Linked DNA regions of Drosophila melanogaster. The protein of the gene in region 1 interacts with the protein of each later gene in a pairwise test. Each region holds a gene or a part of one and is shown in the gene's direction. Other genes may lie near its edges. The genes, in order: CG14269, Ugalt, CG30184 and CG14969.

What was found.
Region 2: the proteins of CG14269 (region 1) and Ugalt interact in a two-hybrid assay, tested with the Drosophila melanogaster proteins (one large-scale study listed by BioGRID).
Region 3: the proteins of CG14269 (region 1) and CG30184 interact in a two-hybrid assay, tested with the Drosophila melanogaster proteins (one large-scale study listed by BioGRID).
Region 4: the proteins of CG14269 (region 1) and CG14969 interact in a two-hybrid assay, tested with the Drosophila melanogaster proteins (one large-scale study listed by BioGRID).

What each region holds. Positions count from the first base shown.
Region 1 is NC_004354.4:3,431,921-3,438,931, reverse strand, and holds CG14269 (uncharacterized protein), read left to right. Parts: upstream 1-3,124; 5' UTR 3,125-3,219; exon of another isoform or gene 3,220-3,269; 5' UTR 3,270-3,271; coding exon 3,272-3,844; 3' UTR 3,845-3,989; downstream 3,990-7,011.
Region 2 is NC_004354.4:2,700,624-2,709,697, reverse strand, and holds Ugalt (UDP-galactose transporter), read left to right. Parts: upstream 1-5,952; 5' UTR 5,953-6,177; coding exon of another isoform or gene 6,178-6,193; 5' UTR 6,194-6,241; coding exon 6,242-6,410; intron 6,411-6,922; coding exon 6,923-7,860; 3' UTR 7,861-8,574; downstream 8,575-9,074. Other genes in the region: CG2681 (uncharacterized protein), read right to left, coding at 12-734; CG2680 (uncharacterized protein), read left to right, coding at 2,356-2,745, 2,842-3,369; eIF2Bbeta (eukaryotic translation initiation factor 2B subunit beta), read right to left, coding at 3,632-3,704, 3,773-4,158, 4,249-4,705, 4,775-4,861, 4,925-4,980; Lint-O (L(3)mbt interactor in ovarian somatic cells), read right to left, coding at 9,003-9,074.
Region 3 is NT_033778.4:23,562,213-23,569,296, forward strand, and holds CG30184 (uncharacterized protein), read left to right. Parts: upstream 1-1,760; 5' UTR 1,761-1,866; coding exon 1,867-2,538; 3' UTR 2,539-2,568; downstream 2,569-7,084. Other genes in the region: Pi3K59F (phosphatidylinositol 3-kinase 59F), read left to right, coding at 1-315, 387-660, 735-1,096, 1,155-1,600.
Region 4 is NT_037436.4:3,331,849-3,340,118, reverse strand, and holds CG14969 (uncharacterized protein), read left to right. Parts: upstream 1-5,140; 5' UTR 5,141-5,352; intron 5,353-5,411; 5' UTR 5,412-5,561; coding exon 5,562-5,892; intron 5,893-5,947; coding exon 5,948-6,135; intron 6,136-6,193; coding exon 6,194-6,374; intron 6,375-6,426; coding exon 6,427-6,674; 3' UTR 6,675-7,000; downstream 7,001-8,270. Other genes in the region: Drsl6 (Drosomycin-like 6), read left to right, coding at 3,757-3,975; Drsl1 (Drosomycin-like 1), read left to right, coding at 4,331-4,540; CG14961 (uncharacterized protein), read right to left, coding at 7,177-8,270.

The sequences.
Region 1 (7,011 bases):
ATTTGGTAGGTAGCATGAATTACGATCAAAAGCACACAATTTTTGGAAGTGTGTTTGAACCAGTTCTATTATTTGCATTGGATGATTCCGGCTCTACTTGACATTTAAATGAAAGAGTTCTTTCTTTTTTTTTTTGTCAATTAAACATTCTTAATCACTGCAAACATGAAAGAAATCCGAACGATACACTTAAATGAATTGAGTCGATCAAAAAATAATTGGTTGGAATGGTTGTATTCATTGCAATATTCATAATAAATCATTTCATTCTACAATTTGGAACAACTATTTCATTATTCAACTAATGCCAAAAGCTCCAATGACCAACTCAATTGCCATTGCCAATTTAGTACGTATTAATTAACCATTTCCTGTCACATTATTATTACACCAGCCTGTTAACACAATTATTCATTCCATCTGATAGCGTCGATCTTCAGCTTTTTTGGACACACTTCTTTTTTTCTTTTTTTTTTTTTTTTGGTGGCCGCAAAAGTGTTTTGTATTTATCGTAAGTGTTTCCCTTGGCAAACCCATTATCCCATCCCAGCACCCGAATGAGGCAATCTGTATGTTGTATATGAATCACGGATCGCTTAGATCTGGAAACTTGTCCGGGCCACTTGGCCATAAATCAGGCGGGGCGACAATCGTGTACAAAGCCATGTTGTACATGCCTCGACTTCGGTTTGCACTTGTCAAAAATTCGCACATTTCTGATTCGCTGCTGCGGCTCACATTTTTTTTTTTTTTTTTTGGGTCTTGATTTCTGATTTCTGACTCGATGATCGGCCTCCAAAAAGTGCGTGCGGTGGTGTGTTGTCATTGTCGTGTAGCCGGCAATTAAAATTGGTCCCCTTCCGCTGGCCACCGCACCTCGCAAACCCCCTTGAACCATCAACGAGACCCACATGGAAGCAACTCGAAAAGCGCCCAAGAAATTGGCCAGGGCAGCTGTTAAATAATTTATGAAGTGCGTAGGGTTTCTGGCGCGCATTTCAAGCAGCTCGAGAGCCCCAAACGCAACTCATTTCATTTATTTCACTTCCAAAAACTCCGGCCAAATATTTGCGCATCGCTCACGCACTTTTTTTTTTTTGTGGACTGCCGCGATCAATTTGGTCGAGGCGTCTCCTTTGCAGATACTCTAATTAAAAGGAGTATCTGTGTTGCGACGATTACAAACTCGTAGAATTCTTGGCAATTTACAAATTATACCTACGAATTTTCACTAGTCTTTGTGAATGTTGAAGATTATATTGCCCAACTGTTAAGGCAATTAGATCATTATTATGTAATGATAATGACACAAAAAGAAGAGTATTTACTACTCGACTTCACTATTCATTTGCATTTGTCGATTTTTTGTTTGGCCCGTTTCAATTTTGTATGGTTTTGTTAGCCGGAAAATATTTGGCCACGCAGGTTTTTTTCTGTTTTTTTTTTTTCTTTTTTGTCTTCGGTGCGTTCCTCATTAAACATTTTGGCCAAAAATCCACTTGCGATCTGCATGCAAATGCCGCTGATTAGCCGGGGCGCCGAGTTGGCCATAAATCAATAGGCCTTTGCGCCTTGGCTGCCACACGAGCCACAAAAAGTCCGCAAGTGAAAAGTAAACTGGCCCAGAACGGAACCCAAAAAGTCGGGCTCAAAGCCAGCTGCAATCTGCGGAGAGCGTCTTTGCGATGGTCTGGCCTGCTTATGGTACGGTCTATTCCCCGCCAGATCCGGATCACGAATGTTCGCTCAACCTTGGCGTACAGTCAGGAAAGTCCGTCGAGGGTCGAGGGTTGTCTCTGCACTGCTAGAAAAAACGGGACTCTAATTTCCCAACATTGAGCAGTATTCATACGTACAGTCAGGAAAGTCCGTCGAGGGTCGAGGGTTGTCTCTGCACTGCTAGAAAAAACGGGACTCTAATTTCCCAACATTGAGCAGTATTCGTAACGAAGGGAAAATGTCAAAAGGCAAAAAAGCAGATTTAAAAGGCCCTATACAACACTGCATACTTTACTCGAATGTAACTGTTTTTTTTTTTTGCTCAGTGTGGCCAGGGGAAGTGTTAAGCTTGCCACAGAAAGTGGAAAAAAGAGCCTGATTAATTATGAATTGAGTGTCTGAGCCGAGTTGCCTGCACTTGCACTTCTGGCTTTTTTTTTCGTATTTTCATATTTCACTTGTTGCACTTGCGGCACTTTTTATATTTTTACGCTTGCAGAGCTCGCCTGCAGACTTCATACTGGTCATATGTATATATATATATATATGTATATATTGTCTGTGCGAACAGAGGTGGGGGCCCAAAAAGGGGCGTAGCCGGGGTCAGCGGCGAGTTTTGCAAAGGGGGAGGCACTCGAGCAACAACTTTCGTCACGCCACTCAGTGTAGTTGAAATGAGGAGCGGTTCAGCGAATCGGGCTACCGATATCTTCAAAACTATATATACTTTATATTCTCAAGCGTTATGATTGTGAGAATTTTATGATCAAATCAATAGAAATAGAATAGAAGTAAAACAAGTAAAGTTGATAATTGCAATTGAACAAACAAAATGATTGCTCTTTACAGATAGAACTTGCAACTTGGCCCCTGATCCGCTCCTGGCTCGGCTGTTGCACTTGCCACTTCACTTGCAACATGCACTAATGCTCAACGGCACGTCCCAGTGTCTTTATCATATAAACGGTGCGATTTAAATTAATAATTAAAGCGAGCTTGTGGTTGTGGTCCCCGGTCCGTTTTCAATCGTCTGGGGCCCTAAGTCTTTGGACTTTGGGCCCGGAGTCACGAGACTTTGAGCCATCTGCCGCCGGCAGGTGGATTGCAGGTGGATGCGAGCGGATTAAGCTGCCCACCCTTGATGCCATAAATCAACGGGGACATTGGGCTAGGTGCTCGCTGCTCTGTGCTCAGCCAGATGAGAAGTTGACCGGTCTGGTTCATCGCATCCCAGCGAGCCCATTGAAGACGAGCGAGCAAGAGCTCCGACTAGACCATATATTTATGTATGTACTTATCATACTGACATCTTAGGCGATCTAGCCATTATAGCTTATGACTTCAAGCTGATTCTTAAGTTTTTAGCAGGCTGTTAGGTTAGCTTTGCCACTTCTGTCAAATGGGCTAAAAGCGAGTTGACTAGCTCAAAATTTTTCGTTCGTTTCGTCGCTCTCGAAAATCGAAAATCGAAAATCAGAGGGGACAAACTATGTCAGAAGGGTCAGTTGAAGAGTAACAGATTTGAACGCACTAATTGAATTGAAAACTAGTTATGCTGGTCATGGACGCATTGTTTAACAGCCTATTGGTGGTCAGTTCCGGCTATGCGATCTACACTCTCCATCCAATGGAAACACCCTATGGCTATGCAACAGCGGCCTTGAGCCTGGTCCATGGAATTTTGGGAATGGTGCGAGCGGCGAGCAACGACGATGACGAATGCAATCGGGTGCGATTGATTACGTCGGGCATCATGGAGATAGTACCGCTGCCCCTGACCAATATGGAGCTGTATCTGAAGTCCACCAATCCGGGCTTGGCTTTGGCGCACACATGTTTTGTGGTGCCATTAGTCTACGATATGTTGGCCAAAGTGGTTGACACCGAGGATACCGTAACGGAGACCCTTAAGGAACTAACACTGTTGGGCAACGTTGTGTCCATGCTCTTTTTGGGCGTCAACGAGTCGAATAATATGTACGGCATCTTGGCTGCCATCGCTTTTGGTGCTCGATACGGTTCCGCTTTTCTCGACTACTACTGGAAGGGATTAGGTGCCGAATTCACCCTACTGGCCCACTCCATGTTTGTCCTACTGATGACGATGACCCTTTCGGCGAAATGAAGACCAATAGACCTCCCAGAATATAACCTATCCGCATTCAAGGCCAGCGGTTAGGTTCGTTGGCTTTCAGCTCAATAAACTTGCAATTAATGTTGGCAAATTAAAATGCAAAAATAAACATTAATTGTTTTGTCACATTCGCAGCACGACCAAAAAACTTAAGTGTCTACATCTCTCTTTTGTCTGCCCCTTTTTGTCGCCAGCGCCAGCACACGATCTCCATCATCCAAAGATCCAGAGAGATCCAGCTGTGGATAACATTTTAGCTTCAATTTACAACGTCAGCGGCGAGCGCCAAATGAGCCAAATGAGCTGATCCCCATTCAAAACCAAAAAAAAAAAAATGAAAAAACAAGGCTTGAGTTAAGATGGACGTGCTCTTAATATATACACTTAAATACCAAGATGCATGATCATAAATGGATTTTGTTCTTCCAGCAAAAATCAAAAATTCATTTAAAATAATATCCCAACCAGTTGATAAGAACCGGGAAATACATATGTCTGTATTTCCGGGAGCGAGTCAAGGACATGACCAAATAAATGTGGCCTACTTTTGGGAGCCGGGACGCGTCAATCTCGTAGGCTAAATGCTAAAATACCGGGGCCATTAAAACCAAACAACAAAAAACAGCGGAAAAGAGCTGCGAACTCGGCGAATGGTTAATAATTTATGCATTTTAATTAATTGCCAGTTGCGGGACCCCGTTGCCAGGTTTTTATGATGGCTCTGAGCGTTCGGAGATCGGAGATCGGTTATATACCCCCCCTTTGGCGCTAATCATGTCGTCATTTGCATTTCAAGGGACTAGCTGTATTCAACAGACATCCATTTTTACAAAAATGCAACAAAAAAAACCAATCACAAAATTCGCACAAATTCAATAAGAACATAGAAGCCAAGAATATTATTGCATCGAGACGAATATTGTACACCGAATGTGACTGCGCAAGTTCAAAAACCTGCAGAGCGAGTGACTCAGTCGGTTAAAAAAGCCGGCCGGCATTGGCGAATGTCTCCTCTTATTTTTCTCATTTTATTTTTGCCGGCAGCTTTTGCGTAGTTGTATTGGCGTGTTTATTAAAAAAAAAAAAAGAAAAGAAAAAGGCAAAAATACGTTAAGCAAAAACAAAAAAAAAAAAAAAAACGATGCATGCAAAATGAATGCGGACATTGGAGAGACGGAAAGAGTGCGAATGCGAAATACAGCTAATGAATGCGAAATGGAACACAGAGGCCACAAAATGAAATGGCCCAGAGATACGCACCAGACATACCCTCGAAGATAAAGTTTTTTTTTTTTTGTAAACAGTGTACCAAAGATGCTAGCCAGAAATGAGCAGTAGAATTGGAATGTCCTCAAATTGCAATCCCAAAAGTTAAAGTTAATACTCAGAGCATGTTATGATACCAAAATCCAAATGAGCGTAAATTGAATATGCCTACTTGCCGCCACATGTATCTTTAATGAATGCGCCAGCCAATGTGTTCAAAAAGAAACGGTCAACGGTGCGGGTCGACGCCAACGCCACCGACATCTTTCGTTATGTATGTATGTACCATACATATCGCCCTATATATATACATATATATATATATATATATATATATATATATATATATATATATACGCACTCGATCCGTATCTGCATCTTTATCCGTATGCATGTGCTTTGGGCGACGGCGCGAAATTCAAAAAAAGCTGCGCTTGCGCATTTTTTGTTTGACGTGATTTGTTTACGAATCTTAACAAACTGTGTACACAAAATGATTTAAATTACCACGAAAGGCGTCGCCGTTCAAATATTGTGCGTACACAAAAAAAAAAAACAAAAAAAACGCGGCTCAGAAATCACAGCTCTATTTGCACTGGCAAAATCAATATCATTGCGAAATGATTTGGCAGCTGCATTGAGCGAAAGTGATCTGAATTTTAGAAAACTTCAATTACAGTATATAATGCAGTAGTAGGGGATTTGCCCAATAACGAAAACATTTTATTGCATCTTTTCAAATCCAGCGTAGTAGCAATATTTTCTCGCTGTGCTAAAAAAAACCCGTTACAGCCGAAGTGACTCAAACTCAGACACATTCATTTCAGATACTACGATGGCGTGGGAGAGAGCAAAAAAAAAACTAGACCTGCATTCGTATGAATGATGTGAACGACATAATATACTACTACACTATATACATACATATATACCCGAGTGAATCACTCGATTCGCAGAACTACCGACGAATGCAGCTAAATTGATTGTCCGATCACGACGATGCCGACAAGCCGGCAATTGCAAGTGGAATGGGGCAACCATACTGTGGATATATATACGCACGATATATACTTTAGATGGTTTTGTGAATTGTGAATGGAATGGCAATGCAGCGAATGATGTGGGTCAACTAACTTGACCGATTCGATGATGCATTGTACTTTCTGGGCCGGCAATCGGTTAAATAGATCCGATAATGGCCATAATTCATTTACCACATTCATTCTTTATTCATACATAAGCTGCGTTACAACTTGAACTTTTAGTTTAAGTCCAAACTATTTCCTATTAATCCGTAGGCATAACAGGCATATTTCTATGGAATTGTAAATATCCGAATGATATCTACATATACGCTAATATTTTGCTGCATAGAACGATGAATCAGATATCCGCAACAGAACAAAACAACTCGAAATGGTTCTAAGAAATTCGAATCAACTTGTAACACAGCGCGCCAATGAATCACATTTTCTCGAGATCTTTGGACCCAAGTTGTTGTGATATGCGTTCTATACGTTTTGATCCTTGAACGTTGATTTCCAGCTAAGAAATGAGAGAGCACAGATCAAAATACTCTTAAAAATTAGCAAACGACTTAAGTTCGGCAATAATAAGTTGTTAATTGCGATCTCCACTTGGTTCGAGTTCGAGTTAACAAACATTTCCCTAGCTCATTATGAGGAACCTGTTAACGAGGGAACACTGTGCCGGGCAAACTAGGAAGTTAAGATAACTGATACCGAAAACTTGTTGCTAAATTAGTGCAACTCATTTGCATTGATTAAACTTAATTCATATCTGAATGCCCATTTCATTTGGCCGCACTACAAAATATGCATAAATTTGCACTTACAGAAAATTTTCACATTTCATAGATTTTACTAAATAAA
Region 2 (9,074 bases), 730 kb from region 1:
TCAATTTTTACCTTGCAGAGCGGGCACATGAGCAAAATGCGGGTGCACTGTTCACAGACACTGTGGCCACTCTTGCACAGAAGGATGGGCGCCTTCATGGCGCCGGCACAGCCGGGACACCTCAGCTCCTCGATCAGTCCCTCGTAGTGGCGGGCGGAGACGGTCGGCGGGCCTTCCTCGCTGGGCGTGGCAGGGCTCTTTTCCGGCTTGCTGGGCGTGATGACGCCTTCGGGAAAGCTCTGACGGATTATGGAGCTGTCCGGCGAGAGAGCTCCATTGCTCGCTGGACCCTTGCCATCGGCGGGACCTGTACTGCGGGTGCGGCCCAGCATTGGCGGCTTAGGGGGCGGCGAAAGTGGGGATCGCAGGGTCACCACATTCGGACTTGGCAGCGTGGCGTATTTCACGTTCAGGGTGAGCGTGTTGGGGGGCACTGGTTTGGCTGGCTCCACCTTTTCGGGTTCCTTCTGCTGCTCCTGGGCTGGGACCTCATCAGGCGTTTTCTTCGCCACCTCCTCCGGGGGCATCTTCGTAGACTGCGGCTCGTCTATGGCCTTCAGATTCTTCTCCAGGTCCTCCTCCCGAACCGTCGATCCGTTTGTGGCCTCCGGCACCTCCTCATTGATCGTGCTGTTGAGAAATATGCGGCGCTGCTCGTTGATCTGTTCGATGCTCTTCAGCTGAGCCAGAATTTTTAGATCCTCCTCCTTTCCACCATTGGCCAGGGTAGACATTTTCGGCAATTTTCCTTAGTTTTTGACTAGTTGTCGTCTGGTTGTATAACCGCCGGGAACAGTTGCTCCAAGCTCAGGTGGCCGAATGTGCTTTTCTTCTGGCGGAATTCTTCGCAAGCGTTCGCAACTCGTACTTTCGTATCTTATCAGGGAGACGCCTAACTAAACTAGCTGGCCCGGCAATCGATTTGGACTTGTGATGCGATATACCAAAAAGCCGCAGCCAAAACCAACCAAACCAAACCAAACCAAACCAAAAACGCAGCCGAACCCCAAGCGACGCGACTCACACGCGCTCGCACATCAAGTACCCGCCCCGTTGGCCAGTTCTTTTGCCTTCACCGCCGCGGACGCGGACATGGACACGAGCGTCTTCCGGACCCCGCCAATTGAAATGTTGCATTTGAATTTGAATTATTGGCCATTTGTGGTTTCCTCCGTTCCGGCGGCTTTTCCATTTCCCCCTCTCCGCTTCCGTTGGCCAAATGCCGCAGCCATCAATGTCAAGGTGTTGACATGTGTGGCCAGGGTCTACGGCCCAGCACAGTGGGACCTCCGTAGGGCGACAGGCATTCTGTTGTCTACGCTGCTGAACTTTCGCAATTGTCATCATACTTATTAGTTTCTCCATGCGTCAACTGTACCTTTGCTTTTCGAACTGAGGAAAGCGTGCTCATACATGTTTCCTCGAGTGTTCACTGTACACGTTTGTGCCTGCCTGTTATAAGCTTGAGCGAACAACAGCAGCAACAAAAGGCCGATGCACCACCGATCAATACTTACATACATACATATGTATGTATGTCAATCGCCTTCAATCACGTGTATCGCAGAGGATTTGTAAGAAATGCAATTGAAAGGAAGAAAAGGAAGCATGTGAATCGCAAAATACATATAATATTTATAGCATGCCAAAAGCCTTTGAAATTTAATTAAATTTTTCTTTACAGCCATTTTGGGTTTGTGGTTTCGCTTTGATTGCATAGAATTGAATTCAATAATAAGGCTGTCAATTATTTCGAGACCAATATATTTCAGTCACATTTGGCAGTGGAACTAGTTCGATAATCTATATGGTTCTAAATTATATCCGGTAAATTCAAATGACAGTCAAAAGCATGAATAACCAAAATTTGACGAATGCAGCAGACTCATTTTATAAGTTGTTCCTTAAGATAAACTTGGTATAATCACGCGTACGCTTGATTGTAAATCCGAACTAGGAAGCAAATGAGATACATATGTATGTATGTATTTTCCGGACTGCTATCCGCTCTGTCCGGCAGATGGGAATGTGAAATAGACAACAAATCGCACGAGTCTTTCATGCCGCGTTCCACACAGAAGATCTTATATTTACATACGGAATCTTATCGGACGAGCCACTCCGCTCGGGTTCGCTAAATCGTGTAATAAAAGATACTTAGCACATATGTACGTAGGCATAGGGTTGTATGGGCGAGGGGTGGTTGGGTTCGGGTTCGAGGAACCGGGGGAACAATGTCAATGCGTTGACATTGAAGGTTAAATGCCGGCAAAGGCGGTTAGTCGGCTGTGGAATTTCCGTGCGCGCGCAACCAGCATCCAATTCGTTCCTGTAAGCCAAAAAACCAACATTACCATGTCGCCACCACGACACATTTTGAAGCTCAGCCTCGAGGAGCAGCGGCAGTTCATCGATTCCTTCGATTTGGTGATCAGCGACTGCGATGGCGTCGTCTGGCTCCTGGTGGGCTGGATTCCCAACACGGGAGCCGCCGTCAATGCCTTGAAAGCGGCCGGCAAGCAGATCAAGTTCGTGTCGAACAACAGCTTCCGGTCCGAGGAGGATTACATGGAGAAGTTTCGCCACATCGGCGCCAAGAACGTCCAGGAGGACGACATCGTTCATCCGGTGAAGACCATTGTCCGGTACCTGAAGAAGCACAAGCCGGGGGAGCGGGTATACTCCCTCATGTCCCTCGAAGCGAACGAAACGTTACGTAAGCACAACATCGAGTTTGAATCGCTGGTAAGGGGAAGGTTATTACTTATAAATATATATATACAATATATTTAGTTCAAGAGCTTCCGTGTGACTATTAAATTTCATATCATTCTCCTTCAGCAAGTCAAGGAGCACCTGACGGCCGCGTCGCTGGTGGATCACCTGGCCATTGAAAAGCCCGTGGGCGCTGTGCTATTCGACATCCACTTGGACCTCTCGTACGTGGAGCTGGCGAAGGCCATTAGGCACCTTCAGGAGAATGACGACTGCCAGTTGATAGCCGGCGGCAGCGATGTCATCATGCCACTGGCGGAGAATCTCAATGTGGCCGGGTTCTTTGACTTCCTGGAGCACGTTAAACGCTACACGCAACGCGAGGCCACGTTTCTGGGCAAGCCGTCTCCCATTTTGGGCGAAATGTTTGGCGAAATGTTCGAGATTCGTGATTGCAAGCGCTGCATCTTCATCGGGGACACACTGGTGCAGGATGTGCAGTTCGGCAAGGCCTGCGGCTTCCAGTCCCTGCTGGTACTTAGCGGCTGCCTAACAAAGGAGGACATGCTGAACGCCCCGGTGGAAGCGCAGCCGGATTACTATGCCGATAGCCTGGCCGACTTCACGCAGCTGCTTGAAAATATTCAAAAATAGGTTGAGGATCGTGTGCCGCAGGGAAATTACGAGAAACGTGCTACCTGAAATTAACTATATCAACCCAAGATAAAGTAGTAATGTTCTTAAATCGAAAACCGATCCACCGTTATTGCTTATTCGATATAATTATTGTTGAATTTTAAAGTTTATAAATGTCTACGAAATTGATGCATTTAAATCAATCCAAATCGAAATGGGCTTGCTACTTTACTGTAGACTTTATTGGTAGAATTGCTAAAACAACGAGACAAACACGATTTCAAATCTCCAAATCTTCGGGATGATACAGTTCCGTAAGGAGGCGGTACACATACGAGGGGGCATGGCCACCGCTAAGTAAAAAAAGAATCCAATAAATGCAATAAAAAAGAGTCGAAAGGCCGATAAGCGCACTACTTACGTGTTGGATATGAAAAGGGTGACCAGTTCCGGAGGCACGTAGTCGAACATGGGACTGTATACCTTGGCTTCGCGCGCTGGAATCGAATCGTAGGGTATCACATCCTCCGCACAGCCGACCATATTGAAGGCGTCCTGCTCGCACAGATGCAATGGTGAGAGTTTGTACATGGGCGCCAGTACAATGACCGGCACGGAGTAATGCTTGGCGGCCAGGGCCACTGTATACGCTCCACACGCCGCTCTGAGTCCTCCATTAGCCAGCACGCTGTGCGTACCGATTATTACCTTGTTGACGCGCGACATCATAGCGAAGATGGCCGCATCTGGGATCACAACAATCTCCACATTCTTCTCGTTGGCCAAGCTGGCGGCCAAATTGTGACCCTGTAAAAGACATAGGCAGTTGTTAAGCAACATAAGAGCATTTTCTTACACCCCACAAATACTGTCGTCCCATAAAGAGACCCAACTAACCCGGCAGGCTGGCGCACATTCGGCTACGATGATGGTGAGAAACTGACGCTTTTTGATCGCCCTTTTGAGGAAATTCTCGACGCTGCGCGAGTGTCCCAGTGTCAAGATGATCTCCGACGAATGGATGTGCTCCTCGGCCTGGACGCAGATGTTCTCCGAACTGGTCTCCAGCTCCGTTTCCACCTCCTGCAGGTGGTCGAGCAGCGCTTCCCGCAATCCATGCTGGGGCACCGAGTAATCTACGCTGACGTTGCTCTCGCTGGTCTGCGTGACTAGCTTGTGAAGCGACAGCGAGGCCTGTGAGTCGTCCGCGAAGTGTTGCACCTTGGCGTGCAACAGATCGAACTCCTCGCGAGTCAGCTTGAGGATCCGCCTGGCAATGTTCGAGGTAACCGTCTCCTGGGGCAGAGCTGCCTGCAGGATCTTACACTGGTCGCGCACAATCTGCATGAGAGCACTGTCAAATGAGGGGGAGTTGTTTATCAGTTAATGTGTTATCCTTGGTGTGCCATCCCTTGCAACTCACTCGGCGTTCTGCCAGCTCTTGCTCATGATGATGTACTTGAAGATGTCCAGCGTCTTGTTGGTTATGTTGTAGGATCCCTCCACCAGCCTGCAAAACATATGCCACTTTAACAACCAAATGAATCGCAGTGCCTGCCAACCGACGACTTACCCCACTTTGATGGCGTGGATGAGCTGTGTGATCTCCTTTAGCGGCTGTTCCTTCATCGTGTCCTGGCGTCTCTGGTCTTTGCAATTATGAATTATCAACTAAAGTGGCCAACTGTTACCATTATTCAGTTAGAAAACTATTTACGAAATCGCCACACCGAGCAATGTTATCGATAGGCGGCAGGCGAAAGCGAATTCTAGTGATGAACTCAAAAAAGTAAAAGATTTAAAATCAACACGGAAATTATTAATGTTTTCATTTATTGCATTTGATTAAATTAATTTATTTAATCCCCCCAAATGGCAATATATTTGTAATGTTGTATTGTAAATTTGATGCATCGCAATTATCAGGTGCCGCCAACAGGTTGTTCATCATTCACTGGCTTAATTTGATGTTTTATGTTTATTTTAATTGTCTGCATATACTGGCTTTCATGACGTATTTTCAACGGCAGCTGAGTAAATAGCCAACCTAGTGCGGCAAAAATAAATTTCGCTGGGCTTAAAAATTTAACATACATGTGCATGTAGAACAAGCATGCACAATATGTATTTATGTATTTCGTCCATGAGTTTTCTTGTTTTCTACTTTCGATCCCCATGCTCTCTTGTTAAATTTTAATTTTAATTTTAAAGTCATAATATATACATTAATTTAAGCAATCTCAATGCCCGATTATTGTATATCTAGCTTTTTTTGCAAGCAACTTCTTTTTTCGCGAGTTCCGCCACAATGCCAGCACTGTGACTATCGAAAAGTCGGTCTCTGCTGCGAAAATAGCAACAAAAGCTGCACGCCATGGGCGTAGCTTGCTTTAAAATGGGGATCCATCCCCCAGGAGCATATGTAAGGTGTATTTACTTTACTGAAATGCACAATGCACTTTTAAATTTTGTTTGCATTCAATTAAGAAGGTTTCGCATTTATGACCCCCGTTGCAAGCCCAGGACCACGTCCCTGGCGCGCAGCAACAACAACCACATAGGCGGCGATAAAAAGCCGCCGCTGGCAGAAGCTTCGGGCTCTGATTGTTGTTTACGTGTCGCCCGGTCCAGTGGAGTCGTCTTCATTTGCGCTCTTCTGCTTTTCTGGCCAACTTGAAGGGAACGAACTGCCAAACGGAACGGCCCGCCGACAACTGATCTTGGCCAGGAACGGAGTCTTTGTGTACCCCCAACTACGGCGTTTTGTTTGCCTTCGGTTTCTATTTGGTTTTGGAGTTGAGACAATAGAGCTAGAAGCGTAGCACCATGAATAGCATACACAGTGAGTATTTGGCCTTTAGTGCGGTGGCGTTACTCCAGCGGTACTGACATGGCGCTCCTGCCCGCCCCCGTCACGTATTCCTATTCCCATCGCACAGTGAACGCCAATACGCTGAAGTACATCAGCCTGCTGACGCTGACCCTGCAGAATGCCATCCTGGGCCTCAGCATGCGCTACGCCCGCACCCGGCCAGGCGACATCTTCCTCAGCTCCACGGGTGAGTGCTTATCCAAAAGTCCAACAGGTCGTCGGGCTCAGCAGGTCAAGCCGGTTCACCGCTTAGCAGATTCACCTCGTTGCCCAGAGCCACTTCCACGAAACCTCGACGTGGGTCTGTCCACGCAAGCAGCAACATCAGCAGTAAAAGCAAACGAGTCGAAGAGGTGGAGGTGAAGGTGGTGTAGGAGCAGTGGCAGGCGGGGAATGGTCGTTCGGGTAGATGTGAAGCTGCCAAAGAAACTGATAAGCAGCCACTTCCGCATTTAGCTCCTAATAGCTTGATAAAACTGTTGGGGAACTTCTACCGCGATAGCTCAAGGAGGTTTGGTTGGCATTCTTGAATTACATATGGGTTTACATTTTGCCATTAAACTTTGGTTATTGCTTTGGTGACTCTGTGTGTAAGTTAACCGGACTTATTTGAAAACCCGAACAGCGATACTTGGACTTATTAGTATATATGTACATATATTTGATTGATTGATTGCCATTTTGCGCCCTCTTTCGCAGCCGTACTCATGGCAGAGTTCGCCAAACTGATCACGTGCCTGTTCCTGGTCTTCAACGAGGAGGGCAAGGATGCCCAGAAGTTTGTACGCTCGCTGCACAAGACCATCATTGCGAATCCCATGGACACGCTGAAGGTGTGCGTCCCCTCGCTGGTCTATATCGTTCAAAACAATCTGCTGTACGTCTCTGCCTCCCATTTGGATGCGGCCACCTACCAGGTGACGTACCAGCTGAAGATTCTCACCACGGCCATGTTCGCGGTTGTCATTCTGCGCCGCAAGCTGCTGAACACGCAGTGGGGTGCGCTGCTGCTCCTGGTGATGGGCATCGTCCTGGTGCAGTTGGCCCAAACGGAGGGTCCGACGAGTGGCTCAGCCGGTGGTGCCGCAGCTGCAGCCACGGCCGCCTCCTCTGGCGGTGCTCCCGAGCAGAACAGGATGCTCGGACTGTGGGCCGCACTGGGCGCCTGCTTCCTCTCCGGATTCGCGGGCATCTACTTTGAGAAGATCCTCAAGGGTGCCGAGATCTCCGTGTGGATGCGGAATGTGCAGTTGAGTCTGCTCAGCATTCCCTTCGGCCTGCTCACCTGTTTCGTTAACGACGGCAGTAGGATCTTCGACCAGGGATTCTTCAAGGGCTACGATCTGTTTGTCTGGTACCTGGTCCTGCTGCAGGCCGGCGGTGGATTGATCGTTGCCGTGGTGGTCAAGTACGCGGATAACATTCTCAAGGGCTTCGCCACCTCGCTGGCCATCATCATCTCGTGCGTGGCCTCCATATACATCTTCGACTTCAATCTCACGCTGCAGTTCAGCTTCGGAGCTGGCCTGGTCATCGCCTCCATATTTCTCTACGGCTACGATCCGGCCAGGTCGGCGCCGAAGCCAACTATGCATGGTCCTGGCGGCGATGAGGAGAAGCTGCTGCCGCGCGTCTAGCTCTGGAGGAATCCGGATCTGCCAACAGTATTTGTCCGTAACCCGGAGGCCGCCGTTCGGTAATTGCTCTGGTGTATCCGGTGCATCCGGTGTCCTTGATATTCCCCACGTTTTGTGTGTATATATATTAGGATGGATATTAACGTCTGGACAATTCGTAGCACTTTCTGTTGAGACGATAATTGTAATGTAAAGCAGCGATAAGAATACTTAATGATTTATGTAATTTAAATGTATTTAGGGTATTCACTAGCGAAACTAAAGTGTAGTTAATGAAATGATGCAGCTTGAATGCACGTTTTATTGATCATTTTAATTGTTACTTTGCGAATGCTGAGGAATGCCAGCAGTATTTACTGGACAACACCACACATACCGTGCCTATCCTTTTGTAAATATCCACTTGCACTCAAGTTTAGACTAAGATTTGTAACGATTTATAGTTTTCAAGTTACACTTGATGTTCGGCCAATTCACAGCCACAACTACTTTTGTTCGAATTTTTTTTTTAGAAGATCATATATATGTATATATATTTACTTGAATGTGCATTATTTATTCATTGCCAATTACTTTATTTTTGAGAAATCCTAGGTTGAGCCAGCCCAGACTTATATATTTGTATTTGAACTAAAGTCGCATTACTCGCACAGTGTTTTAAGAGTGATTCCATATCGATATGTTTCATTTCCTTTGAATAAATATTAGACGAATAAAAGGCGTATTTTACTCCATCAAAAAGTAATAACAACTTTCAACCCACGATAAGTAAAAGCACAACAAAGGTTTTGGGGTCAGTTTTTTGCTTTATTGGCCAAGGAAGGTTTCCTCTTAACTGAAGAACTTTAGTTCATCTATAAAAGAGTAAACCTTTGCCTCTACCCTTAAAAAAAAAAAACACCTTAATAAAAATCATAACGTGTTGCAAATTCAGCAGATACCATTCAAAAGTATGTGCATTTGCGAGTGTGGGATTACGGAACATTTTTAAAACTAAAGCAAAATCTTAGCCATCCGCCAGAAGACTTAATATAAGCTTTATTGGCTGCGAAGTGATGCGGTTGCGATGGCTACAGAAGAGAGTATTGATTTAAATTAAGTGTGGTACATGACATTAGGTGCTAAGGAGGTGGGTGGGGACGCTAATCTAGCCAGGCGAGGCCAACGTCATTGGATTGAGTCTGCAGGGACATCACGAGTTCGAAGACGCGCAG
Region 3 (7,084 bases), on another chromosome or scaffold:
GTGGCAGTGGTGGTCAGGGATCGGTTGCGCTGCCAAACCCCTCTGCTCCCGCCACTCCGGGCAGCAGCTCGTTGCCCTGCGACTCAAACTCCAATGCCCTAATGCTGGCCGAGGGCATCAGCTTCGGCAGTGTTCCAGCCAATCTCTGCACATTCCTGATCCAGCGCGCTTGCACGAACGCCACGCTGGCCAACTACTTCTACTGGTACTTGTCCATCGAGGTGGAGGAAGTGGAGTCGGTGAGGAAGCAGGACGAGAGGGCCCACGACATGTACGCCATGGTGCTCAAGATGTTTCTGAAGGTGCTAGAGAACGGTGGGTGTAATTTAACGAAATCATGGCTCATTCTCTAATTCCCTAATTCTCTAATCCGCTCATCCGCACAGGCAACTTCAACCTGAGAGGCATCTTCTACAACCTCCGGAAGCAGCGGCGCTTCATCGACGAGCTGGTCAAACTGGTGAAACTGGTGGCCAAGGAGCCGGGAAATCGCAATAAGAAGACTGAGAAGTTCCAGAAACTGTTGGCCGAACAGGACATGTTCAAGGTGAACTTCACCAACTTCGAGCCCATTCCGTTTCCCCTGGATCCGGAGATCTACATCACCAAGATCGTGCCCATGCGCACATCGCTCTTCAAGAGCGCCCTGATGCCAGCCAAGTACGCCATGACCAACCAACAAACTCTACTCACTCACTGAATACTTCAATCCTAATCCTTAATCCTATTCGCAGGCTCACCTTTGTCACTTCGATTGCCCATCACGAGTACGCGGCCATTTTCAAGCACGGTGATGATCTGCGCCAGGATCAGCTCATCCTGCAGATGATAACTTTGATGGACAAGCTGCTGAGGCGCGAGAACCTCGACCTGAAGCTGACTCCCTACAAAGTGCTGGCCACCAGCTCCAAGCACGGCTTCCTCCAGTACGTCGACTCCTGCACCGTGGCGGAGGTGCTGGCGCGGGAGGGCAACATCCACAACTTCTTCCGCAAGCATCATCCGTGCGACAATGGACCCTACGGCATTTCGGCGGAGGTCATGGACACCTACATCAAGAGCTGCGCGGGCTACTGTGTGATCACCTATTTGCTGGGTGAGACTAAAGGAGTGTAACCAGGTGGATTCCGCTAATCCTTGGAATTTCCTCGCAGGTGTGGGCGACCGGCACTTGGACAACCTCTTGCTGACCACCAACGGCAAGCTCTTCCACATCGATTTCGGCTACATTCTGGGACGCGATCCCAAGCCCATGCCGCCGCCAATGAAGCTGAGCAAGGAAATGGTGGAGGCCATGGGCGGCATCAGCTCCGAGCATCACCACGAGTTCCGCAAGCAGTGCTACACGGCGTACCTGCACTTGCGGCGGCATGCCAACGTGATGCTCAACCTGTTCTCTCTGATGGTGGACGCCACTGTGCCGGATATCGCTCTCGAGCCCGACAAGGCGGTCAAGAAGGTGGAGGAGAACCTGCAGCTGGGCCTCACAGACGAGGAGGCAGTGCAGCACTTGCAGAGCCTCCTGGACGTGTCCATTACGGCGGTGATGCCGGCTCTGGTGGAGCAGATTCATCGGTTCACCCAATACTGGCGGAAGTAGAGGACATTGCTTGCACAAGAAATTGTGGGAGGAGCGAGTAATCCTAGTTCGGTTCAGCTGAGTTGTTTAACATCAAAAGTGTACATTAGATTAATACCTTATACTTATCAATACTTATTAATATTATTTATCCTTTAAATCCTAGTCGTAAGTTTGCTTTAGTCGTAGGTGGCCTGTAGCTAAAAGTCCGTTGTGCGGAACCAAATGTATCCACATATACTATATATCTTGTCACAATTGTAGTATAACCATTTAATCGGGCAAACATGCAGGTGCGCTCCAAGAAGCCCGTTTGGTTCCTGTTCAAGATGATGGAGCTGCTGCTGAGCCTGGGCTGCTGCCTCGTCCATTGGACCTGCTTCATGGAGGAGGGTGTGCCGCACATCTTCCTGCTGTGCGGAACGTACGGCGGCTCGGTGATCATATGCTTCATATCACTGATTGGAGCTTTCTACGCCGAGCGGCCGACGATGAAGCACGAGGCGCTGTTCGGTGGGATCTTGGGTGGCCTGCACATGGTCACCGTGTACGCCAACATGTATGTGGCCACTTTGGAGGAGTTCCGCACTGAGCGCTGGCCCAGCTTCTATGCGTGCTGTCGGGACAACGCCATTGTGGCTCTGTACGCCGGCGCCATTTATCTGATGCACTGCACCTTCGCTCTGGATCTCATGTTCTCCCACTCACGCAGTCGGGCGAATCAGAAGATGCATCCACAGCGGAGCAAGCGACCACTGCAGCTGTACTTCATCAGCCGGGGCGCGGAGGCCTATCTCAGTCGCTTCTGGTTCTTTCGGCGCATCGCCGCCAGGATGCTGACCAGCGCCCAGCCATCGGAGCATTCCGGCCGGAAGCGGCAGGTCTCGTCCTCCGAGTCGGACTCGGATGCCAAGGAGAGGGAGGAGGAGCGGATTAGGAACTCGGAGGTTTTCAAATAGCTCAAGTAATTAAATATTAACGTTCACCTGCTCGTGTGCTCACTGTAGTTGTGCCTTTTGAAAGCCCGCTGCTGTGCAGCCCTGGCGCCATCAGCTGTTCGCCGCATAACAGCCCCGTCTCTTGGAGCGCGCGCACTTTGACAGCTGTTCGTTTACAGTTCCTTTGGTTCTTGGAAGTTTGTTTGGCGCGCCGCGTGTGATTTTCGTTACTTTTGCCGGAATTGTGTCGATTTTGTGGATTTTTGCATTGGTTTAAGCCTGCGGAGGAGTCCAGCTTTAATGACGATGGCGAACGGTGCGGTGAGTTGCGGGGGGAACGCACTGCGTCGTCCACTTCGCCATTGTGCGGATGCATGGCTGGAAATTTCTGTCTGCAAACTTTTCCGATTTTCATAGTTCGATGCGTGGTGGAAACTTCTGCGGGCGGCGCTCGAGCTCTGGGTCTGTGTGCCTGTGGTTTTAGTTAGTTGCAGGTACTCGTTGCTAAAACTTTTGCTAAAAGTTAGCCGTTGCCACTAAAGTTGCCGCCCGAGGCAACACAAACAAACGAAAAAAAACGAAAAAAAACGGGACTAGCACACTCGCGGCCATGTGCATATGAACACTTAGACGCCGTGCCAAAACGAAAGGCACAGTGGGCCTTGGCTAACTCTGAAGATTGGAATTCTTCCCTTCAAGAAATTCCAATTTCTAGGACTTTCCCAATTTCCATTCTGACTTTGGAAGAGGCGGAAAACTGAGTGTGTAATCATCATTTCCCGTTTTCGCCTTTACAATTCACTCGATCTGTGCAATGTTGTATAGTAGCAGCAGCAACAGGAATCTCTTATCGGGAGCACTATGCCACATGCCACTCTTCCCGAAGAGAGCCCACTGCAGCTGCGAGTGCGAGTGAGTGGGTGGGTGTGCTACTGGCGAGCGAGCGAGCGAGCATGACTCACCGCTGCCAACTGCACTCAACTTGGCCTTTGTTATTGTCTGTGGCTGCAAGCCATCGAGCCACCGAACCACCAGGCGGCCCAGCCCCAATCCACTCCCTCCGCCCTCCGCTGCTAGCCCCAATTCCCCGGTCGTGGTCCTTCGAGCCGGTCCAAATGCAGCACGTGTTCCATTCGGTGTGCAAAGTCAGTTGGAATGCCAAGCTGGAGTTATGTGTGCGCACTTGGGGTTGTGTGGGTGTGTGTGGAAAGCGTGTGCATCTGAAAGATACATTTTCTAGATCGCAGCATGTTTGGTTTAGTTGGCAGCTAAATTTCACTACGTGCAGTTTGCGGTGGGTGTTGGGCCCAAAGTCTCGGAATTTCAACTATGTTTCGCAACAATTTAGCCGGCTGGTGATAACGATAAAACGGCGAGTTTCCGAGTCGATTGAGTGAATAAGATTAATCGTTATGGTGATGAGTTCGTTACGATGAGATACAAAGGCTGAGATAATTAGAGCAAAAATAGGTGATTCATACATACATATGTAAGTTAGCTAACTTACTTGAAGTCAATGCATGCAGAATTGTCATTGTTTGTTGAACTTATCATATGGAAATAGTAGTAATTGTGGTTGAATCTTAGCTGGCAGCACGTTCCATTAATTGGTAATCGCTTTTGGCTTTTGGCGCACTCTTTTCGTTTCGCCTCATTTCGGATTCGTGGAACCCAAAGGTGGTTCGTCTATAATTTCACAATCGACCCATGGGTGGTGCACCATTGTAATTGAAGTCTTAACTCCGACTTCCTATGTGCAGTCGCTTTTAGCTGGAACTTTTCGGGCCGTCGACGAACCCAACTCCCTAAACGAAGGTTCCCATCGTAGCACCGGAGCCCCGTAAGCCCCCATCTCGGGTTTTGGCCCCAAAAACGCTGTGTACGTGCCGCTAGTTCAGCTCCATAGATTGTCCGGTGGTAATCAGTTTACGCTGACGACGTTTGCTACCACTTTCCACCGCCACCCCTCTGGCCACGCCCCTGATCATGCAGATACAGCTGGGGTCAGCCAACTAGGCGAAATGGTATAGGAACATACTTGAAATATGATTGTTACTAGCGTATTTCAGATTCAACAACTTAGTATTTGTGCTTCTACTCCATTGTTCAAACCCAATGTGGTTACTATATGATGGCCCTATAATGCTGACCCCGTCTGTGGCGCATTCATATTCAAATCCAAGTGCAAGTCGTGTAGCTACATGCGAAACTCTGTGTAAACCGAAGTGGCTCTCATTTATTTTTCGTTCAATTCTATTTCGCTGCCGTTCGTTTTTCATGAACCGATACTAACACGAGTGCTACTATTTCAGTTGGTTACTAAACATTTAGTGCCCCCCATACTCCCCACTACCCCTCCCCCTGCCCCTGCGGATAGCCCCGCGAGCATCGAGCGCAGCGGGCTGACTAAGCGAACGAGCTGAGCGAACGGCGGCGGACGAAATGTCGCGCCATATTAACCATATTGCGCGGTGCCAAAAGGGGGAAGGCTTTGCATACTGCCCATGCCCATGCCCATGCCCCAGTATGTGGGGCTCCCTATCCCCTCGTTCCTGCCTCCTGCCTCCGTCCTGCCCCTCGCATCTGCCCGCATCTGTCGCCTGGCAGTTAGCTGCAGTTGCTCCATTTGTTTGTTTGTATTCGCCTGCCAGCCGGCAAGCAAGTACAGTGAAGCCTTGCTAGCCTGACAATATTGTGTCTGTAGGATCTACCTTTGGTGTTGCATACTTACAAGTGGCGGTTAAAATTGAAATGTTTTAAGATTACATTCGATACGGATTAGTCCATTATGAGGCTCCACTGTTCGCATTAGTTTTGTTGGAGTGTGGCGCTGTGTTTTCGCTACAGTTGTTGTTGTCCACAACGTGATAAAAACTTTAAACATTGAATTGTGATACTTCGTCACTTGGTTGTAAATTGAAATAAGACTACCTTCCAACTTCCCGCACCACCAAGTGCCACCAAGTGCAGCCCAAGAATACCCCATCCCTCCCCAACCCGCACCCCACAGAAGTTGGGCGAAATGCGAGGCGAGGGCAAAAACAAAATAGCTGGGAAAGCCGAGAAAATAAAAAGAAAAATCTCTTGCAATTGTCAGCAAATTTGCCTCCAATGGGCGAGAACTTGGTCGCCACAAGGGTTCCAAGCACGAAAAAACATTAGGAGCAGCCACTGAGACATTTGTTTAATAAGCCGTCTTTTCTGCGAGTGTATGCTTGTATGCTTGCTTATGTATGTGGGCGCACTCATTATTTATGTGAGACTCTGCCCGATTCCATATATTCCATATACTCCTCGATCGCCCGATTCCACTCTCAATTTCAATTTCAGTGCACTTTGCGACGCCTTCGGCTTGGCTCTCCGTTTTGGCCATCCGTCTGGGATTTTAGTTATCAGTTTATAGTTTTTAGCCTTTCGATGCCTGCGGTTTACGTAGATACTCCGATCTGCCTCTGTTCGTTGCTTTGTGCGGTTTTATTCGGCGTTTGATTTGCGAATATGTGCAAAATTTGCGCAAATTAAATAAATAATGCACGTGCCCGTACTTTGAATGAATTGAGACTTATTCAAAAGGCTCGCGAATAAATTTGAACAGAAGAAAGCCAAAAATGCAAATGCATAATACATTTGATCAATCGCACACATAATTCACATTTTTTTATGGTGAGTTCACAAATGTTATTCGTGTGTAAATTTAATGATAATTATGTTTAGTTCGGTTTCAAGTCATTAAAGAAAGGTATTATTTTAAGTTTATAAGTAAGTATATATTATCTGAAGCTAAAAACCATTATTGAATAGTCCAGGCAAAATCAAAACGGGCTGCGAACGGACTTTTATGGTGCCTGAAATTACCGTAGGCCGAGTGCCAAGTTTATGGCTTTTGAGTCACAGACGGCTAACATAGCGCACTCTGCTTACCTTTGGCTCAATTATCTGATAAGGCAGCTATATATGTATATATATATATATATATAGGTTTATGTGATGAGGGAGGGGGAGGGAGCGACTTGAGCGATATCCGCGGTTTGTTGACCTCCGCGCTGATAAAGATTTTCCCGTTTGTGTATCTTCTTCTGGTCGCTGGGTTTGCGAAAACTTAACTTGCACGAAGATCATGGCTAGAAAGCGGACCAGAACGACCGCTTTATGGCTAAGAAGCGGCTACTATGTGGTATGACTATATGGTAATTAGGCGGCTAATAAGTAAAACCCGCACGTAGCCCAAATAAAAATGGTAACAGAATCGCCGATTGGTGACTGACTCTCTCGAGTCGCTTTTGGTCTCCCAAGGCCAGTGGATCTATCAGGTTAATTACCCGCCATTGTTAATCCTAGTACTCCCACTACTCCCACGCCCCGCGCCCTTCATCTCATCTCGTTTTTAGTCGGCCAGTTGCCAGTTGCCAGTTTTTGGTTTTTCGTTTCTGGGCTCCGCCAACTTTTTTTTTCCCCCTGCCCATAATGAATTCAATTATTGTCACTCGAGTGCGTTAAGTATGCCGCAAAGGTATGTGCCTACTGTGGTCTACTCGTATCTGTATCTGCGAGATACATTCGTATGCTA
Region 4 (8,270 bases), on another chromosome or scaffold:
GGCAATCGCTCCTCTGAGGAATCGAGTTCAGCAAGTCAATTGCCATTAACTCCGGCGGCCTTTCATTTAATTTAGGGGTAATTACAATTACAACTCCTCCCAATCACTTGCAGTCGAGCAATTGTTTTATCTCTATGATTCAGTCCCTTTGATTTCATAACCACTCGAAAGTGACCGCAGTTCAAAAAACTACAGATGGGATTGCCTAATGCATGCATATTAAAACTGTTTTATGCATTGCAAGTGAATCAGTATAATTTGAGTATTTGATTGTTTAAAAACAAAATGAATACAAAGGCAACAATACAATTTACAGCTAAAACAGAGTTTCTTTTTACCAATTTTGACTGTACCCGCCTCATAATGCTGACATAGCGATAAGACCTATTTCGTAAAATCACAAAAAGTCGTTCTAAATTTGCTTTATGGCCTTTGATTGATGGGTAGGCGGTGTGGTTCGGAAATAAAGCGGTGATTGATTGATTGACTTTTTGGCTGATTTTGAATGGGGATTATGCACAGTTTACACTGGTCAAAAAGGGGAAAGTAGTCACTTGAAATGGAATCGATTGAAACGAAAAGTACAGCGCGCAAATTGCGCAAAATCCAAAAGAATGCCGCCTTAAAAACTCCAATAAGAGCACGGCCACAGCAACAAGAACAACACCGCCCAGCTGCAGTGCAGACATCTAATTGGAAAAAACAACAACAAAGAGCAAAGATATAAACAAGTCCATGTGCAGTCATTTGGTTGTGCTTGGGTCTTTTTTCGAGGGGAATGTAAAAAGAATTGAAAAATGGACCAACTGGGTCTCCACTCCAATAGGAATTCTACTTATATCGTTGCCAGTTTGACAGCCACTGTACGACTGCTGTCTTTTGCTGTTGTTGCACTTTTCCTGCAGAGATCGGCGTCTGTTTACAAACAGAAACACTCGGGGTGGTAAGTTTAGAGCCTTTAGTTGTTCATTTTAATTACTTTGGTTCCAAATAGAGTTAACGTTCAACAAATCGCTGTAACGCATAACATATAAAAACAACTACACTTTAATAATTAAACTCTTTGTTGCAATGCCTTCGTAAAGAGGTTAAATGCCATGTTAAATGTTATGTTATTATAACACCACTTTGTTAAGATTCCATTGAACTAATTTAATCATTACAAGACAACATTTAATGTGTTATTATCGAGCTGGCCGCAAATGTATGCAAATGGGCTGCTGCATTGGGGGCGTTGGCTTTTCCCCCCGCCTCTGCGATGCACACACCCCCCACACCACCACCCCACTCCATACGACGCCATGCCTTGGCCTTGTTGATAGTCGTTGGCCTCTTGGCTGACCCGTTGAGTGTAATTGAATTTAAGCGGCAATTGTCTTGCGAATGCATTTATTGCCATTGCACTTTGCAAATCACGGTGCGCAGCCAGTGGCTCTCAAACTTTCACGCTTAACGGTGCTGCAGCATGCCTAATGAGCGAGCGAGCAGGCAACCAGCCAGAGCGAGACAGCCTCTAAACGAGCGGAATGCGGTTTAAAAATAAACCAAGCCCAGAGCGAGACGGCCAAAACGGGTGAGGAGCGGCAAGAGGGCGGGGCCAAAACGTGCTTGGGCTTAGACCCTATTTAGCCTAGTTTACGAATGGCCAGCACAGCCCAGAAAAAAAGAGAGCCTGGTTTAGAGACACCTGTGCCCAACGAGAGCGGGCGGAGGGAAAAGGGGGAGGGAATCCCCATGCACCGTACCCTCGTTATGCTAATTCACAGCAGAACAACAGGCAAGCCTCCACAACTGAGACGCTCTAGGAAGTCTCATTTGTAGTAAGGATTTGCAATTAATTAAGATTTGAAAATAAGACTTTATAAGCTTTAGAATCTTGAAGAAGCTTTGAGAACCACTTGATCTTACAACAAGAAATAGTTATAGATTGGAACTCACACGTTCGTAGTTACACTTTATGAATACTTAATATCTTGTTAAGCTATTTTCAGCTAAGTGAGGTCCTCCAAGCCAGACTAGACTGTATGTCTGTATATGACAGCCTGGCAGTTTTTACGACCCGTTCGCACGCAACTTGACCACAGTGGAAGTGGATAGGTGGTATTAAATGGAAGATCGGCCCGGGATCGGGAGTGCCCTTTACCGTTTACATTTTGGGAGCCGCAGCGATGTTATGCAACACCTTGCGCCGGGTTTATTGGCTTATAAAGTGGAGCATCGGACCGTAAAACATCCCATATTTTTTTTAACGATCTTCTCTCTTTCATTCCGGTTTTTGTACTTCGCTTACCTTTGACAGCCTCGTAGTATCCCAAATCCAGCGTGAATGATTTACGTTAGTATCCTGGCGCACAAGAAATTATATTTATTCTCCAGATTTCTGGATATCTGGATGCCTCCTGCTTCGCAGCTACTTCTTTCCGTTCTCGTTCTTAGCTGCTGCAATTAACATAAATTCCCGTATTTATTTGTTTTTTCGCCGACTGTTTTCACTACGATCTTTCTCTTCCTTTCGCCACTCTTCCCACTTTTCTTATTCACGCACACAAACAGGCACACACACGCACAGAGTGAAAATCGAAAGATGCAGACGAAGATGGTTATAAAAAACAAGAGAACGCGAACAGGAGGAGGAGAAGGAATGGAGGAGGATGGGGAGCAGAAGTGGGAGAAAAACCGGAAAGTTGTTTTTGTTGTTCGACCATAAGCGGCGTTCTTTGGTTTTGGTTACAAAAACAAGCCGAAAAAGTGTTAAAACCGAAGAAATCTTAACGTTTTTCAGCGCTTTTTGGGGATTCTGTTTTAATTTATGCCAAAGAATTTTTGTCACTTGTTGCTGCTCTTCGACCTTAATAACAAATTCCAATGCACACCAGTTGCTTTCACACGCAAAAACCAGATTAGTGGGTTTTTTCTATTGTTCTTTTTTTGTTTTCATTTCTGTTTTGGGGCAGTAATTAGAAATAGCCGCGTTTTAAACACCGGCGCAAAAGCAACAACAATGGTATTTTCTAATTAGCACAAAAACTACAACGAGCATAACAACAACAATGTGCAATGTGAGCGGCTTAAGAGAGCGAGAGCGCAAATAAAAGAGAGAATTGAAACGCTGATTACGTTTTACTTATTGGCCCGCTTGTTGTTTCTTTACTTTTTATTTCTTTTGCACGGCTTTATTTATTTTTCAGTTAGCGGTTTTGGGATCCAATTTTCAGTCCGCGCGCACGTCTTGTCAAATCGCCGATCAGAGAAAAACTGGCTATTCAAAATAGCCGATCCGGTTCTCAGTGGAATTTGAAAATTAAGTCATGGTATTTGAGGTTCGCGAAACATGGTCACACTTCTAGGTGCAGTTATCGATGCTTATATCGAATTTTGCGCTCTCCGTTGGAATTTAAACTTTATAGAATTGCATTCGAAAATATATGTGCTTTAGGCAATAAGCACAAAGTAGCAAATATCACTATCCTGTTGTTTTGGTTGTGATAATTAAGTGCATTACGCCATTTATTGTTTGCTTTTCCTTGAACCATTCATGGGACCTAGATTGAGAGACGTTCTTACAATTATATTGTGTGTATTGTATATTTATCCAGACAAAAGGTAGTATCAATAAATAAAATCGAACGACGCTGGCAGCGACATCGACTAGTCCAGCCCTATATAAGCTCGTCGAAAGCACTTGAAAACAAATTCGATCCGAATCTGAATTGATTAGTACATCAAAGAAAACAATCACCACGAAAACTACTGAAAATGATGCAAATCAAGTTCCTGTTCACCTTCCTCGCTCTGCTGATGATGGTCATCCTGGGCGCCAAGGAAGCCGATGCCGACTGCCTTTCCGGAAGGTACAGAGGTCCCTGTGCCGTCTGGGACAACGAGACATGCAGGCGGGTTTGCCGAGAGGAGGGACGAGGACGAGTGAGTGGTCACTGCAGTGCCAGGCTGCAATGCTGGTGCGAAGGATGCTGAATTTCTACCGAAATTGGACAACTTCTATAGACCCAGAATGATTATGTATCAATCATAAAATTCAATTCCCTAAACATTCACAATTATTTAAAATAAAATCAAGTCAAGAACCAATATTTATTGTTCAGATCAATGCATTGTTATATTCGGCACGTGGTGAAATTGTAAAGGCAGCCGAAAAGTCTGGGTAAATATTTTTATCTCCACGAGATAAATTTCACCACAGCGTCGTCGTACTGAGTGTAAAACTTACAGATCGGAACGTATTTAAGCGCTTATTCTGAGCTGAGAGCGATCAATTTCTTGAGGATTGCATTTCAACAATTACTAAGTTACCAGACCTCCTACCGAAACTATGGAAATCAAGTTCCTAATTGTCCTGTCCGCTGTCTTGATGATAATTTTCCTGGGAGCGGAAGAATCACATGCCGACTGCCTTTCCGGAAGATATAGGGGTTCCTGTGCTGTGTGGCACAGGAAGAAGTGCGTAGATATCTGCCAGAGGGAAGGGCGAACCAGTGGACACTGCAGCCCCAGTCTAAAATGCTGGTGCGAAGGATGCTAAAAAAAGATGTACATGTAAGAAGAGTCTATTCATGTGCATGGAGTAATAAATAGACAACCCTTTCTTATCTATGGATAAAAATTTTTATATATTTTACTGATCATACGGAACTCGATTGATAATGGAAAAACCCCAAGTTGGGGTTGTTTTGGGTCATTCATATCCAAAACGATGTATTTTAGCATTACTACTGCCCCGCTTTTTTTGCATCTATTTATGTAACACACTTAACTTCCTTTCATTGAAATATACTCATTGTGAAGGGTTGTTTACAGATTTTTCGCAAATAAATGATAAACAATGCTCAGAGTTTGATCAGCAGTTGCCTAAATGAAACGTGCAATTTTAAAGTAAACTTCGTGATCTATTTTTGATATGATACTTACAGCAGCTGATCTTCATAATGGGGAAAAGAGGAATTTGGTTAGGGAATTAAAATAAATCAATGACAATTGATTTTACAATTACAATTTCGGTGAGAAAACTGGCAATTACTGTAAAAGTTAATTTGAAAATTCGCGCCAACCTCTTAGCGTTGCCAGATGTTCCACGCTTTCATAGCGATTCCTCACTAAGAAAAGTCGAAGTGTCAAAGGCCCGATATTTTTGGACATCTAAATGATTGCTATTGTTTTGTTTATAAATTACACCAAATAATTGCTTCTATTGCAATTGGACAACAATTTGGTGTGCAGGTAACTGAATGCATGCAGAACTATTGATGGATGATGTCTCCAGCCGAAATACAATACAAAAATATATGATTTTATAAAAGTATTTGTTAAATTGTGATATTGTTTAGTGTGCAGAGGGTAAGAATGTGAGTTTCGTTAGTAATGCCAACAGCAACTCACCCGACACTCCTCTCCAGAAAGAATATATTTCATAGAAGAACTTGGGTGTGCGAAAAGGGAGCACCCGTATCAACAAACAGAAGCACCAGGGGATTCGCCGGCTTCTCGCCCTCCTGGTTTCCTCCTTCATCTCGTTCAAGTAGGCGAAGAGCAAAGCACACCAAAAGATGCGGAGTTACATTGCACTCTTGGGGCTTATCCTAACTCTAAGTGGACAGTTTAACATGCTGCTGGCCGGGAAGAAACATTCCTGCGAGAAATTGCTCGCCGATCTTGGCGATGCACAGAGCAAGTTCATCTACTGCGCCACCACAAAATCAGTGCCCGTGAATTTGTGTGAGGGCTGCGTCGATCTCTACCGCAATCTCACCAATGATTACGGAAACCTAATTGCGAACGCCAACTGTTCCAAGCGTTATCTGAACTCGGACAGGATCAATATAGTGGCTACCACCCAAGGAATCCTAACTAGCCTGTGGCAAAAGGCCAACTGCGAAAGTGTGCATCAGTACTTTGTTCATTTGGGAATCACTGATCTATTCCTACTTTCCAGATTGCTTCAGGGATAATTTTTGGATTGTATACAGCGATAACTCAACAAAGTTGCAAAATTGCTTAGAATCTGCTAGTTCGGATTTAGTTTGCTTCAAGTGCAAAAATGATTACGTGAGTCTAAATGATTTCTACCTTAGCATGGAAAAGAAAGTCGGTGGAAGTGTGTGCTTCGATCTGCAGGACAATGTAAGTTTAAAAATTTATATTTACATTTGCCTATTTTTACACCTTTACTTTTGCTTAGATGAACCGGACTCGTCTGAATTGGTCGAAAACGCTGAAATGCTGTCAACGCGAGGTGAAGCTGACCAATTTTCTCATCGCCGTTGGCGTAGTTGTCCTGCTGCCCATTTTCACCTTCTATATTACGGCAGTTGTAGTGACCAAGCGGCGGGAGGCCAATCATGGCTTGCTCAATGAGCAGGGTAGGAAAGATCGTCATTGGTTAAGCCCATATTCTGATTTTTGGCATTTTAGAACCTGAACTGGACGCGCCCTCCACGTCGACGCTTATCACGGCTGCCGTGCTGTCCACTTCAACAGAGGATCCTGTTGCAATCTCCGCCCGAACAGAAAAGATCGCCAATGTATTGATCGGTGCTGGAACACACCTGTTGGACGAGTCCAGTGATGAAGAACCTCCTAGGGGGAAAAAGGTTGCTCACAGTCCCGCATCCGACTACTCCAGTGACGATGAGCCTCTTGAAAAGCCCAAACGCGCGTAACAAAATCAAAAGCGTTCATTAGAGGAACCTTCGATATCAGCGTAAGAAGAATGTTTTTTAAATTTGAAGAAACTAGAGAAGCAAAGCTCAAAGCATTTCAAGGATTTTCGAATTTTATTATCTTCTATGCTTCTCATATATAACTATATATTGCCTTGAGCCTAACCAAAAACAAAACACTTATATAACAATTGTATAGCCATATACATATGTGATATATTATATATATATACATGGCAAATCAAGACGAGAAAATCATTTTTAGCATTATATATGCACTTTATTGTTGGCAAGTAAAACTGCACTTAAGCCTACGCGTTTATAACAAATTAATGCGAAAGAAGATCAGGGTCATGTCATCATGGAAAGGGCCCTTCCACCGGATTTGCGTACATGATAAGTTTAGCATCTAGCCTAACACTAAGATAACGATTAGCAGAGGAAGTGCATTGGCCGGGTTCGTTCGTTGGTCGACTTCGGATCCTTCCCTAATCCTAATTCCTTATCCGTATAGATTGCCATGGGCGGACGAGGTCTGGAAATGGACCAAACTCCCGTGGGTCTGCAGCGCCGGTTGGTAGTAGGCCTGGTGGTAGTGCGAGGGCGGAGCCGGCTCGTTCACCTGAATCTGATGGTAGTTGGTGAAGGGCTCGTGCTCGACCACTTCGCGTACCGTCTGGAATGGATGATTGACAACGATGCGGCGCTTGTGGAAGGTCTCGCTGGTGGCGGAGGCATCTGTTGGCGCGGCTGTTGCTGCGATGACCCTCTCGTTGGGTTTCAGATGGCCAGCGGCTCCATTAAGCGAGACGTCCACATCCGGCTGGGGCTTCGATTGGGACGGAGTAGCCTGGGTGGCGGATACCTCGGAACTGGGTGCTTCCACCAGGCGCTGGGACTTCTGCTGCCGCAGCTCTGCTCTCTGCTGTCCCCTGTCGCAGTCCGGAGCAATAGTGGTGGCCACCACTGCAGACTTCTCCTGGTCACTGGCTATCTGGATTTGGATGTGGGTGTTTTGCTGCTCCTTCTTTGGCTCCTGCTTCTGCTCCTCTGGTTTGGGTGCCTCAACCAGCCGCGAGGACTGGCTCTCCGTACTGTATCGCACCTGGGGCGACTGGACGAGTCTGGAGGAGTGGTTGTCGGGGCTGAATCTCATCTGGGAGTAGGGAGCACTGTAGTCCAGCTCCTCGGCAACGCGCTGCCGGGATGGCTGGCTGTAGTACGTCCTGGGAGTTTGTGACTTTGAATACAACACAGTGGGTCCAACGTGGTTCCTGAGGTAGGGCTTTATCTCGGTCACCTGGGCGGGCACCTCCTGGATCCTTCGCTCCTTGAGGGGCGTTTGGCTGGTGCGTCCCAGGTAAATGTTGTGCTGCGAGGGCGGCAAGTGAATCTTGTGCTCGTGCTTGATTATCTGGGTAGGTCGCTCGTCTTCCTTCTCCTCCGCCAGCTCCAGTCGCGCTGGTTTGGCCTCCACACTGCCGGCACTCACATTGGGCAGATATTCGCCGGAGAAGTAGTCGTCGTCCTGGTTGTATGGCTGGCGGTTGAAGTTGTTCCTCTGCTGATAGACTCTCTGGCCCGATCGGGAGTAAT